3 linked regions of the Arabidopsis thaliana genome follow. The protein of the gene in region 3 interacts with the protein of the main gene of each other region in a pairwise test. Each region holds a gene or a part of one and is shown on either strand. Other genes may lie near its edges.

The links. The genes of interacting proteins can lie anywhere in the genome.
Region 1: the proteins of CPK26 (region 3) and UNE12 interact in a two-hybrid assay, tested with the Arabidopsis thaliana proteins (one large-scale study listed by BioGRID).
Region 2: the proteins of CPK26 (region 3) and HSP23.6-MITO interact in a two-hybrid assay, tested with the Arabidopsis thaliana proteins (one large-scale study listed by BioGRID).

The regions. Positions count from the first base shown.
Region 1 is NC_003075.7:1,136,928-1,142,357, reverse strand, and holds UNE12 (basic helix-loop-helix (bHLH) DNA-binding superfamily protein), read left to right. Parts: upstream 1-1,817; 5' UTR 1,818-2,051; coding exon 2,052-2,414; intron 2,415-2,818; coding exon 2,819-2,941; intron 2,942-3,105; coding exon 3,106-3,171; intron 3,172-3,257; coding exon 3,258-3,323; intron 3,324-3,997; coding exon 3,998-4,078; intron 4,079-4,156; coding exon 4,157-4,390; 3' UTR 4,391-4,871; downstream 4,872-5,430. UniProt on the Arabidopsis thaliana protein: Required for ovule fertilization.
Region 2 is NC_003075.7:12,915,251-12,918,669, forward strand, and holds HSP23.6-MITO (mitochondrion-localized small heat shock protein 23.6), read left to right. Parts: upstream 1-1,675; 5' UTR 1,676-1,838; coding exon 1,839-2,037; intron 2,038-2,174; coding exon 2,175-2,608; 3' UTR 2,609-2,860; downstream 2,861-3,419. Other genes in the region: QWRF7 (QWRF motif protein (DUF566)), read right to left, coding at 59-751; AT4G25210 (DNA-binding storekeeper protein-related transcriptional regulator), read left to right, coding at 3,196-3,419.
Region 3 is NC_003075.7:17,928,281-17,933,111, reverse strand, and holds CPK26 (calcium-dependent protein kinase 26), read left to right. Parts: upstream 1-1,609; 5' UTR 1,610-1,911; intron 1,912-1,929; exon of another isoform or gene 1,930-2,002; 5' UTR 2,003-2,010; coding exon 2,011-2,060; exon of another isoform or gene 2,061-2,073; intron 2,074-2,153; coding exon 2,154-2,728; intron 2,729-2,804; coding exon 2,805-2,948; intron 2,949-3,027; coding exon 3,028-3,180; intron 3,181-3,252; coding exon 3,253-3,368; intron 3,369-3,442; coding exon 3,443-3,610; intron 3,611-3,696; coding exon 3,697-3,921; intron 3,922-4,004; coding exon 4,005-4,118; 3' UTR 4,119-4,147; intron 4,148-4,210; exon of another isoform or gene 4,211-4,233; 3' UTR 4,234-4,295; downstream 4,296-4,831. Other genes in the region: CGL1 (alpha-1,3-mannosyl-glycoprotein beta-1,2-N-acetylglucosaminyltransferase), read left to right, coding at 1-19, 135-228, 459-521, 597-635, 735-905, 990-1,106; AT4G38225 (glycerol kinase), read right to left, coding at 4,330-4,341, 4,505-4,540, 4,627-4,827. UniProt on the Arabidopsis thaliana protein: May play a role in signal transduction pathways that involve calcium as a second messenger.

The DNA.
Region 1 (5,430 bases), about 17 Mb from region 3:
ATATTTTAAAATTTTTTAAAACAATTTTAAAGCCTTTAAAAATCTTTAAAAGACTTTTGTAAATTTTTGAAATCCCTTTAAAATCTATTGTAAATTACCCTTTTAAAATCCCTTGTAAATCTTATAAAACCCCTATAAAATCCCTTGTAAATCTTTTAAAACTCTTTTAAAATCCCTTGTAAATCTATTTCCCGCCAAAAAAAAAAAATTGGCGGGAAAAATATGTTTGAAAACAAATTTTGGCGGGAAATTTATTTTGGAATATTTTTGGCGAAAAAATATTAATTTTTCATTTTGTTAACCTAAAACAATTTCCAAATAAGGGTAAAATGGTCATTAAAAATTTAAAGAGGGTAGAAATAAAATTGGATAAAACAAAAGGGTAAAGTTGAAAAAGGGCATCATGAAAAGGGCATTAGAAAAAAAAATTCTTAAAGGGATAATAATTAATATATTAAACTATTAAGTTGATTAACTGATTTTTTTTGTGTTAATATATTATCAAAACAAAACTTGTTTTTTTTTTTTTTTTTTTTTCATCCAAAACAAAACTTGTTTTATTTATTGATTTTTGTAAATAACTGTTTTTCTTAGCTTTTATTACTTCTTATGTTGGATGTTCGTGTTTGGTCTGAGAATTACCTCCTTAAGCACAAGTTGTTCCTTTATAAATGAGCTCCATTTAGGCATAATGATGTGAACCCTTTAGTTTTTGTTGGTGTAGACTCAAATTAGAGAGAGGAGTCGCTGAGATTGATAAGCTAGCAAACAGAATCTTCCATATCGACAAGCTTGGGAATCAACCTGAATTGTGATAGAAGAGAGAAAACATTTTCTAGGAAACTAAATTGTCTCTTTTGAATTTGAAATACTTTATTTGGAGCTTGTTTGCTTAGCGCATATCTCGAATTTGATTATATCTCGCAAGATAATTATGTGACGTTTTTGAATTATGTAAACATCTCAATAAGTGATATAGGAAAATTTAACTTACAAACAGAAAAATAAGCGATTTTTTCAATACATTCTAATAGTTGAATACATTAATTAGAATTAGGAGGGATACAATAATAGATAACTACAATTCATTCGTCATGTTCTAAAAATAGAGAGCAATAAGTACGACGGACAGTACCGTCACTACTTGGCGTCATGGTAGATAGGTAGTGGATCTGCTAGATATATGAGAACGGAAAGAACCAGAAGCTATTAGAGGCGGGAGGAGATATGTGGGGATGATTTCAGTGCAATTCCACGACGCACCATTTCCACTTTCGTAACACCTAAACGACCGCTTCGGCCGTATAAAATCGCAAATGTTTGGTCTCAGTGTATTTTTCCAATTTCCAAATACATCAATTCAAATTATATAATATCTAGTGGCAATTATAAGTATATCATATATTTTCAAAATTAATTAAAAAGATTACTAAATTATGTTTGACTACAACTATTATAATAGTTAAAAACATAAACAAAAACAAAGAAACTATTTTAATAAAAAAATCAAGTAAACATTAAAACATAAGCAAAAAATAATGTTAAAGAAATTATTAATTATTAATTTACTAATAATTAATACCTCTATAAATTAATTGTTAGAGGTTTAACGTAATTTATAAGGAAAACTAAAGAAGACTTTAACCCATAAAGAAAAAAACAAAGACTGAATTGAAGGCCCATATTTAGAAGAAGAGAAAGAAGACCCAAATATGATATAAAATCCAGCCCATTTATATATTTTTATTTTGTTTCTGGAAGGAAAATAAGAAAATGGCAAAAACGAAATAATCTGAAAAAGTAAGGTCTTTTACCAAAAAGGATATTTTTTTTATAAACAGAGCATAAAGTTTTCACTTTTCTTCTGCTCCTTTCTCGTCTCTGTCTTCTTCGTCCTCATTCGTTTTAAAGCATCAAAATTTCATCAACCCAAAATAGATTAAAAAAATCTGTAGCTTTCGCATGTAAATCTCTCTTTGAAGGTTCCTAACTCGTTAATCGTAACTCACAGTGACTCGTTCGAGTCAAAGTCTCTGTCTTTAGCTCAAACCATGGCTAGTAACAACCCTCACGACAACCTTTCTGACCAAACTCCTTCTGATGATTTCTTCGAGCAAATCCTCGGCCTTCCTAACTTCTCAGCCTCTTCTGCCGCCGGTTTATCTGGAGTTGACGGAGGATTAGGTGGTGGAGCACCGCCTATGATGCTGCAGTTGGGTTCCGGAGAAGAAGGAAGTCACATGGGTGGCTTAGGAGGAAGTGGACCAACTGGGTTTCACAATCAGATGTTTCCTTTGGGGTTAAGTCTTGATCAAGGGAAAGGACCTGGGTTTCTTAGACCTGAAGGAGGACATGGAAGTGGGAAAAGATTCTCAGATGATGTTGTTGATAATCGATGTTCTTCTATGAAACCTGTAAGTTCTGTTCTTGCTTTGGTGTTTGATTATTAGAAATGGGAAGAAATCGAATTTGAGGGTTTTGAAGAGAACATTTTTGGTAACTTTTGTTTTAGTTTTTGATTTGTGGTAAGTAACTTTAACAAAGTTGATGATTTGCGTTATGTGCTTTATTTTGGCTCAGACTTGTTGAATCTAATCGATTTTGGTTTGTTTAGTAAACTAAGGTTAGCTCTTGTTACTCTATGAGCAACTTCTCACTAGTTCATGTAGCTGCGTGGCTTATCTTGCCTTCTAAGTTGGTCAAATGAGTAATCTTAAGGGTCTAACTTAAATTATTCTCTTACAACTAATGGAGTCAAATCCTTGTGCAAATGGTTTATTTTCGTTTGGTCTTATTTCTTCTGTGTGTTGTCTGGAAGGTTTTCCACGGGCAGCCTATGCAACAGCCACCTCCATCGGCCCCACATCAGCCTACTTCAATCCGTCCCAGGGTTCGAGCTAGGCGTGGTCAGGCTACTGATCCACATAGCATCGCTGAGCGGGTATATTTCAGATTCTCTTTTGTATTTCCCTGTGATATACTATGTTGGTGGCGAGTTGGTTGTAGTTGAAAATATGTTTCGGATATAAAAAAATGTTAACATTGTGTAATGATCTCTTGATTTTATGGAGGGATTACCTAAAAGTTTGTTTTACTTTACCACAGCTACGTAGAGAAAGAATAGCAGAACGGATCAGGGCGCTGCAGGAACTTGTACCTACTGTGAACAAGGTCTGTACCTTTCACCCTAACCCTCACCTGTATATAATTTCTCTAGAAAGTTTGACACTTTCTGTTTCTCCCGTCTTCGTGTGCAGACCGATAGAGCTGCTATGATCGATGAGATTGTCGATTATGTAAAGTTTCTCAGGCTCCAAGTCAAGGTATATTCTTCTCTCTTCTGCAGTTTTAAACTCGAACTCTCTTTCTTGTGAATTATCTTATTACTCCCTATGCAATATGTTTAATCTGTTTGTTCATAAGATTAGAGATCTAAAGATCATGTCTTTCAAATTCTCTGGATGGATTTTTGGTGTTAATTCTGGTCCCACCATTACCTACCCTTCAACCAAATTTCAATCTGATTAGATCAGTTATTTAATGTGGGAAAGAATAAACAAGTCCAAAATGCTTTTGTTTTCTTTGGCATTTAGTCTCTTTTCACTTTTTGTTTTGTCATAGGGAGCCTAATCACAGTTTATGATTATAATACCATATTCAACAATAATTACAATCATCATGTTCACATTATAATATAGTAATCTGGTAGATCATCAAATGCTTCTTATATCAAAATGCAGTCGGTTACTTAAAGCTCTCGCAAGCGAAAAAAGGAAGTCTCTTTACTTTATAAGATAATGGAGACACTAAAGAAACAGAATGCAATGATGGATTTCTGATAAGATAATACATCTTTTGTTTTAAAAATAGAAAATGTGTTTCTTGTGAAATCTTCCATGCTCATCTAAAAGTAAAAGCTTTTTTTATATATATAATTTTCATGGGGTGAAGCTTATCACTTTCAATGATATCTGTTTCTCTTTGTCAACTTTGGTAGGTTTTGAGCATGAGCCGACTTGGTGGAGCCGGTGCGGTTGCTCCACTTGTTACTGATATGCCTCTTTCATCATCAGTTGAGGTAAAAACTTTTTAAGAACAAAAAGTAAAAACTTTAGTAATGGGGTTTTGATTCAGATTTTGCTTAAAATGTCAATAGGATGAAACGGGTGAGGGTGGAAGGACTCCGCAACCAGCGTGGGAGAAATGGTCTAACGATGGGACTGAACGTCAAGTGGCTAAACTGATGGAAGAGAACGTTGGAGCCGCGATGCAGCTTCTTCAATCAAAGGCTCTTTGTATGATGCCAATCTCATTGGCAATGGCAATTTACCATTCTCAACCTCCGGATACATCTTCAGTGGTCAAGCCTGAGAACAATCCTCCACAGTAGGATTTCTGCAATAAAGAGTTTGTACAGCTAATCCAACTGTCCAACATGGGTTTTTCTTCTGCTCTAATGACTCTGGTTTCTTCTCTCCTCTCTCACCCACTTGAAAGGTAAAAAAGTGAAAAAGGCTTTGTAGATGGAATCAATGTAGGATTTGCAGTAGAGGGAAAAAAAATGTCAAAAAGCTCAATTGATCAAGTATTATTGTAATCATTGTACCTTTATTTTAGGTGGACTTTGATGAAAGCAACTTTTTGTTTTCAAGACTTTAGTGGGAGGTTGAGGAAGGAGCTTGAAGGGTGTTATTTATTAGTAGTAGTAGTAGTGGGAAGTTGTGGGACCTTGTTGAGTTGTGTTCAAATTGAAGAAAAAACAAGTATTTGTAATTTGTCACCCCTTGTATTATTATTTATTTTGTATGACTTTGGAGTAGTATAATTAATTATCAAATAATATTATTAGTTTGATCTAGTAACCATCCTTTGTTTGATAACACTAGAAACATAAAGCAAATATTTTAGGAGAAAGTACCATGAATTGTGCTTCTTTTTTTTAGTGGTACGTGTACAATTTTAACTTCCAAATCTCAAATGCTAAGATATATACACTTTGGACAGAACATGTATCAATTTAAACTTGCATGTTTACATTTTGCATTGATTAGTGAAGACAAAATACAACTTTTATTAATATTGTTAGTTTTGGAAAAATATAGCCAAAAAAAAAACTCATCGAAGAATTAAAGTTATTGATATGATTATTTCATGTGATTCATTAAATCATTCTGCCAAATTTATTTTTTGAGTAAAGTTTGGAAAATCTTGTGTCTTTTGAAGTAACAGATAAAAGTTTTGTTTTTATTACAATTTCACATGAATCTTAGAGTGAGATAATAATAAACGAAGATGATTTGGCAATTTGTTTAAAATGGGTCTAAATTCCAAAACCAAGAAGACTACAAAGAGTATGCAAACTCAATTTGATGCGGTACAGGCGTCAAACATACATCGCTATAGCCTTTGCGTTATTGAACCACATAAAAC
Region 2 (3,419 bases), 5.0 Mb from region 3:
CAAATTAATAGATATTTATAAGATACAAATTTAAATATTTTTCATATAGTTTTTGTACCTCAACGTTGATCTTAAGGTTTGCCATAGTGGCTTCAGTTCTTGCGTTAACAAACCTCCATTGAAGTAATCTGTTTTGAAAAATCCTAAACCGGTGATAATCCTCCTCTTGTACCGGAGATACTTTCTTCTGCGCCATGAAGTACTTCAAAACTCCTGCCACCGCTCCACCGCCACCGCTTCTTATCTTGGCCTTGCTTACGGGTGACTCAGGCGGCGTCATGCACATTGAAGTCGTCGGAGCTGAGCTGGACAGAGGCGTCTTCATAGTCGAAAGTCTTCCAGGAGACAACGCCCACGCCGATGGTGAGCTGGCTCCCGGCTTTACCCCTCTCGATGAAGCGTTACTACGAGGACTACCACGCGTACGTTGCTCCAAGTACCGAGCAAACGACTCTCTGCTTCTACCGTTGTTTATCTCTTGAGATCTTGATGCGCTGTTTCTCGCCGGGATTATGTTCTCGCCGGATTTAGAGTCGGATGATCCGATGGGTCTGGAGGATCTTGTTGTGGACTGTGATCTGGTTATCATCACTCGTTTGCTTGAATTGGAAGGCGAAGAGGAAGAAGATGAAGAAGTAGAAGACGATAACGAGGCGTTTAAGGACACTGGGAGAGAGATTGAAGAGCTTATAGTCCGGCTCCGGTTATTATTGGGCGATGGAGGACGGAGTCTCCGACCGGTGGTTGCCATTTTCTTCTTTAATATATGACGACGGTTAACTATATGACTATATCATACAAGACTTATATTCGGTTTCGTTTCTCGACTCACTTGCCCCTGTCCTTAAGACTCTTATAGTAAAGCTGGAATTATATGGTTCAAGGAATCGTCTAGTCTATATACACTGGTTTGAACAATTGTGATATATAATATAGTTAGGGGTATATTATATTTAATCTGTTAGATAACGGTTGGGGTACTTGAAGATCTGTAGGAGTTGACAGCACGTAGAGGCAGAGGTAAGAACACTTCTGCATGTAGTGTGTCTACATAATAAAATATAGAGTGTATTTTTTACACACACCAAAAAGAGAGATTATAATTAATGTATTATGTCAAAGCATATATGAAGGTCAGCTTAGCTAGAGACACGTCTTTTGTTTATCTCTCGACTAAACAACATGGCGTTTTAATAAAATCAAAACTTAAAAGGTCCAATTCAGAACGGCCCCATAGTATATAGTCTACGTTGAATAAATAAACCTCAAGATAGCGTCAAACTCTTTAGTCTTTACCCAAAAATATTTTTTTTTAAATAACGTCAAAACTCTAAGTCTTGACCTCAACACCAATATATATTTGCCTTCTCCAATATCTGATTTTTTTAATTGTTTATCCGAGTCTTCTTGGTCTTTTCGAATGTTTGCCCGAACCAGACCTTCCCACGTTCGGTGGTTGGTGGCCGCCTCGGCCTTTGGTTGATTTCTGTCCACATTTTGGTCCTTTTCATTCATGTACCATGTTCTAGGGTCATTTGACTTGTTGACCATAAATCTACTAAAACAGGCCTAATACCGATGGGCCGTAGCCCGTTAATAAACAAGACAATTTATATTTGTTTCACTTAGCTTGGGAGCCACGGATCTCTAGAAACATCCAGAGAAATATCAATCTCCCCACTTCTCCAGAACATTCACTCACTGACAATATCCCACCTTCAACACTTAACTCCTGTATATAGTCCTCCCCTGTCTCCAGTTTCGTCGCACACAGTTCTCAGATAAATACTAAACTCACTGTTAAAACTTTCTCAACAAAGCTTCCTGTTTCTCTACAAATGGCATCTGCTCTCGCTCTTAAGAGACTCCTATCATCCTCCATCGCTCCACGTTCCCGTAGTGTTCTTCGTCCAGCTGTTTCCTCTCGCCTCTTCAACACCAACGCCGTTAGGAGCTACGACGACGACGGCGAAAATGGAGACGGCGTTGATTTATATCGCCGCTCTGTTCCTCGCCGCCGTGGTGATTTCTTCTCAGGTAACAAACCAATTGTTTCGCTTTTCCTCCAGATCTATGTCTCTCTGTTGTTAACGTAGCGAAAATCTAGTAAGAAAACAGGTATTAGCTTACACTGAGCTCAAAATCTTGACATGATTGATTGTGTCTTTGTGTAGATGTGTTTGATCCGTTTTCGCCGACGAGGAGCGTTAGTCAAGTGCTGAATCTGATGGACCAGTTCATGGAGAATCCTCTGTTATCAGCTACTCGTGGCATGGGAGCTTCAGGAGCTCGTCGTGGTTGGGATATAAAAGAGAAAGACGATGCTCTGTACCTGAGAATCGACATGCCTGGGCTGAGCAGAGAGGATGTGAAGCTGGCTTTGGAGCAGGACACTCTGGTGATTAGAGGAGAAGGAAAAAACGAGGAAGATGGTGGCGAGGAAGGAGAGAGCGGTAATCGGAGATTCACAAGCAGGATTGGATTACCGGATAAGATTTACAAGATCGATGAGATTAAGGCGGAGATGAAGAACGGAGTGTTGAAAGTTGTGATCCCGAAGATGAAAGAACAAGAGAGAAATGATGTTCGTCAGATCGAGATCAACTAAAAACGTCGACGTTTTTTTCTGTTCTAGTTTTGTTGATAGGTCTTTGAATAAGAAGTGTGTGTAGTTTGGCACGGTCGATGTTGAGTCATGTAGTCTCTAAAGACTAAAAGGTTATATGTTTCTTTCTTGAGACGGTGGTTTTTTGTCTTGCTTAAACCAAAATTTGCATTCCAAATCAAAGCACTAATTAAATAAGTTCCTAATCGTGTATTCTTTTAGCTAACTCGGTCGGTTTACATGCCTTTGTGGTTATGAGACTGGAGCTTATGGAACGTATTTGGGTTTAAAATTTTCTGTAGACTAGGAACTAGGAAGACTTTAAGACGAATTCTGAGGCTGCGTAAGTTGTCGACGGACTGGTCTATTAATAACGCGTAAAAGTGTTAGGCCCGTTCGAGTAGAATAGCGCGTTGGACAGCCCAACTTGAATGAATCGATCGACTTTTATTAAAAAAACAAAAGTAGGGCAAAAAACAAAAAACAGAACCTCGACATTAACCTAAACCTAAGAGCAAAGCAAATCGACGGCGACGGGAAAATAGAACCGCAGATCTCTGTCTCCTCTCTCTCTCGTAACTGTTTGTTCGATGGCACCGAAGAAGGCGGAGGAAGTGGTCGAAAGCCCTCCTGTTTCCAGTGAAGAAGAAGAATCTGGCTCATCTGGAGAAGAATCTGAATCTTCTGCTGAAGTTCCGAAGAAAGTCGAGTCTTCGCAAAAGCCTGAATCTGACTCTGAAGGCGAATCTGAATCGGAGTCCAGTTCTGGGCCCGAGCCCGAGTCCGAGCCTGCTAAGACGATCAAGCTGAAGCC
Region 3 (4,831 bases):
CACCAAAGTGGCCAAAGGCATATCCTTATATGCTTTTTTTTCTTTCAATCTCGATGACTATAGTTTGACGCTTCTTAAATTCTAAAAAAAAAAATAGTTTGACGTTTCTAAGACTTTTCTTAACAAATATCCACTTACTGGGATGATTGGCTGAGACTAAAGGAAAACCATAAAGGCCGCCAATTCATTCGACCGGAAGTCTGTAGAACATACAATTTTGGTGAACATGTTAGTACCCGATTATGCTATCCTATATATCATAGTTTTACAAGTCTGTTTTTGTAATGCTGTTAAATTGACCTATGTTCGCTGCATATGACTTCTGCTTTCTGTATGAAAAATGTATTATTGCAGCTTCGTCCTATAGTTTCCCGACACATGGATGTAGACAGTCAATACCACATAATATATTTTTGCATTTCATACTTATCCATAACCTTGTTATATTAATTTGGCAGGGGTCTAGTTTGGGACAGTTTTTCAGTCAGTATCTGGAACCTATAAAGCTAAACGATGTGACGGTAAGCGTAAGTGTGTTTTTTACCCCCTTTTGTTGCATCACTAGTTTTCACTGGTTTCCTATTTCATTCATAAAGGTTGACTGGAAAGCAAAGGACCTGGGATACCTGACAGAGGTAACATTTACAGAACTCCGGCCTTTTTTTTTTATACCATTTTGCATGTTTTGAGTGGAGAAATGTAGTTTTTAACCTGTTCTCTCATGTCTATCAAAGGGAAACTATACCAAGTACTTTTCTGGCTTAGTGAGACAAGCACGACCAATTCAAGGTTCTGACCTTGTCTTAAAGGCTCAAAACATAAAGGATGATGTTCGTATCCGGTATAAAGACCAAGTAGAGTTTGAACGCATTGCAGGGGAATTTGGTATATTTGAAGAATGGAAGGTAAATTTGAGATGATTGAACTATAATCTTCAATAATTGTAGGTCCAAATGGGTCACTTTTTTTGTACCCCTTTGATTGTGTAGGATGGTGTGCCTCGAACAGCATATAAAGGAGTAGTGGTGTTTCGAATCCAGACAACAAGACGTGTATTCCTGGTTGGGCCAGATTCTGTAATGCAGCTTGGAATTCGAAATTCCTGATGCAAAACATGTACTTCTCCAACCAGCATCATTTACATCTTAACCATTGCTTACAGTTCTGTGCTAACCGGGTTTCACAAGCAGATGAAAGGAAAAGAAGATTTTGGACCGCATGCAGCCTCCTTCTAGCAGCTGTTAGGTTGTATTGTTATTTATGGATGAGTTTGTCGAGCGGTGGGGTTAACTTTAACAGCAAGGAAGCTCTGGTGACCTGGCTGATTGGCTTAGAAGTTATGGGAACCCCTTGAAAGGGTCAGGGTTAAATATATTTCAGTTGTTTTATTAGTGATTATCTTGTGGGTAACTTATACGAATGCAAATCATTCTATGCAGTTTTTCTTCGTCCCACTTGTTTTGGCTTCTCTATTGCTAGTGTACATATCTCTTCAAACATGTACTAAATAATGCGTGTTGCTTCAAAGAAGTAACTTTTATTACATCTTTGGCGAGTAGCCAATCAAGGCACTCGACCCATCTTCTCTGGTATAACCCGTCAACTAGAATCTGAGGCCATGGGATCATTAAAGGTTTGTTCCGATGCGACCAATTGGAGGTCTTGATTTGTCTCATGTGAAGTAGGCCTAAGAAAAGAGCCTTGTGGAGTTCCCCTGCATTTTTAGAATATTCTAATTAAAGAGACAGATCTGTTGATGACTATTAATCAAAGATATCTTCTTCTTTTGTTATTTTTAGTCAGGATGTGGAGACGTTGGCGAGAATATTGCAAAACCATGTTCAACAATGTGTATCATCGGATCTGCACCAATCTGACTTAATTTTCATCCATTCTTATCATCTTTGTCTGGTACACATCCATCTCTTCCTCTAATTCCCCTGTTTTGATGTCTCTCCTTATTATTGCGATTTCTTTATGCTAAATTCGTATAATGTTTCAGATCTTGCTATGGGACTTGCTCTGTTTTCCTCTGATGGCAAACTAATTTGGAAGGGGAGGTGAACTAACTTGGTAAGGGATTTGTTTGATGGGCAATTCTTTACAAGCCAAACCACTTCTAATACATTTTGTCTTTCAACGATTTGTTTCAGCACACAAACTGGCAAAAGACGCCCCCAGGAAGAAGCCACAATGAAGCACAGCGGTGGGAACCAAGCCTGCTATGTTCTTGGTCAAAAGACCCCAAGCATCCGAGATCTCTACTCGTTGGGACACAAACTAGGTCAAGGACAGTTTGGGACGACTTACATGTGCAAAGAGATCTCAACAGGGCGTGAATACGCATGCAAGTCTATAACAAAACGAAAGTTGATATCAAAGGAAGATGTGGAAGACGTACGCAGGGAAATTCAAATCATGCACCATCTGGCTGGCTACAAGAACATTGTCACCATTAAAGGTGCTTACGAGGATCCATTGTATGTTCACATCGTGATGGAGCTTTGCTCAGGTGGGGAATTGTTTGACAGAATTATCCAGAGAGGACATTACAGCGAGAGAAAAGCAGCTGAGCTGATAAAGATCATCGTTGGTGTTGTTGAGGCTTGCCATTCGCTTGGTGTCATGCATAGAGATCTAAAGCCCGAAAATTTCTTGTTGGTTAACAAGGACGACGACTTCTCTCTCAAAGCCATTGATTTTGGGCTTTCCGTGTTCTTCAAACCAGGTGATAACATCAGCTGCATCATTTGCAACATCTTCAGTCAGAATTTCACACTTGCTACATCATCTGCAACTTTCAGGTCAAATATTCGAGGATGTGGTTGGAAGTCCGTATTATGTTGCTCCTGAGGTTCTGCTCAAGCACTACGGACCCGAGGCTGATGTGTGGACCGCAGGGGTCATACTGTACATATTGGTGAGCGGAGTCCCTCCGTTCTGGGCAGGTATGCACCCAAATGAAACAACTGTGATTAGGCTTCCAAGGTAAAAGATTCTTAAATATTTGTTTTGCTTCAACTCCAGAAACACAGCAAGGGATATTTGATGCAGTGCTGAAGGGACATATTGACTTTGACTCCGACCCTTGGCCCCTAATATCCGACTCTGCAAAAAACTTGATCCGTGGCATGCTATGTTCCCGGCCCTCTGAGCGACTGACAGCTCATCAAGTATTGCGTAAGTCTAACCAGTTGCTCCTATTTCAGGTCCTGAATTAGTGTATCTGCTAGCTTATTTAGAATTTTGCAGGCCATCCTTGGATCTGTGAAAATGGAGTTGCGCCAGACAGAGCACTAGATCCTGCTGTGCTTTCTCGTCTTAAACAGTTCTCTGCGATGAATAAACTAAAGCAGATGGCTTTACGGGTAAGCCCCCGGCCGCAAGCCTTTTGGCCTTTATTGTGAACAATTTTCCATAAATGTCTTCTGCTGTGATTCAGGTAATAGCTGAGAGTCTCTCGGAGGAAGAAATTGCTGGACTGAAGGAAATGTTCAAAGCAATGGACACGGATAACAGTGGAGCGATTACGTTTGACGAGCTGAAAGCCGGGTTGCGAAGATATGGTTCAACCCTCAAGGATACTGAGATTCGTGACCTTATGGAGGCTGTAAGCACTTTGCTCTGATCTGATCTGTGTGAGTACCTGCTTGAAATCAGTATGTTTAGTATTAATCTGTGACTGTGATTTACCAGGCAGATATTGACAAGAGTGGGACCATAGATTATGGTGAATTCATTGCTGCAACAATCCATCTGAACAAATTAGAGCGTGAAGAACATCTTCTGTCAGCCTTCAGGTACTTTGACAAAGATGGGAGCGGTTACATCACTATCGATGAGCTACAGCACGCATGTGCTGAACAGGGAATGAGTGATGTCTTTCTAGAAGATGTGATCAAGGAAGTCGACCAAGACAATGTGAGTGACTTATGCATACATATCCTCTGGCTTGGAGAGTACATGGTCAAAGGCCAGGGATCATTTTTTTCTTCTTGTTTCAGGATGGAAGGATTGACTACGGGGAGTTTGTAGCTATGATGCAGAAAGGCATTGTTGGAAGAACAATGAGGAAAAGCATAAACATGAGCATCAGGAACAATGCCGTCTCGCAGTGAGAAGCAAGCAATCTCACGATTATGTACAGGTTAAGCCTTTCTCACTTTTTCAAGGTAAATTCCATCAAATTCTTTCCCAAACTGACAAGTCTATACATCGGTGTACGTGAAACAGTCGTTTTTGATAGAGCTGAACGAAGATATGCAAAAGCTACAAAGCTCTGCAGAAATATGGTTCCCATGGTCTGGATCCTTCCCGGTAAAGATTGAATCAACAAAGGCTCTGCATTCTAAAACGAACTGATATGTATTATTAACAGATAAACTGAATCAAACATCAGTATAGGAAGTCATATGAGATTATTGTAATTTGACTTATGTGCACACATCCTACAAAGAAAATTATAAGAATGATCTGTGGAGATTTAAACGATTATTGATCATACATCTGATAGAGCAGTCTCTCTCCCCATTGTTACCTCCTGCGCAAAGTAAAAGAGATAGAATAATGACCACAAGTTGCAAGGAGAAGAGTATGTAGTTGTCAACAAAGAAGATTATTGGTTACCTTTAGCTTAGAATCGCTAGAGAAGACGCAGCTGGATGTGATAGCATGGCCTGGCTCAAAGACCCATCCTACTGAAAATACTCTTTCGCGGTCTTTGCCTTGTTGGAGTGAGCACCACAGCTCTTGCGGAAGCAATAAAAGATCATTTTCTTCTCTCACAATCTCAATCACCTTCTCGCCAGTAACTTGTTGTATACAACCCTGA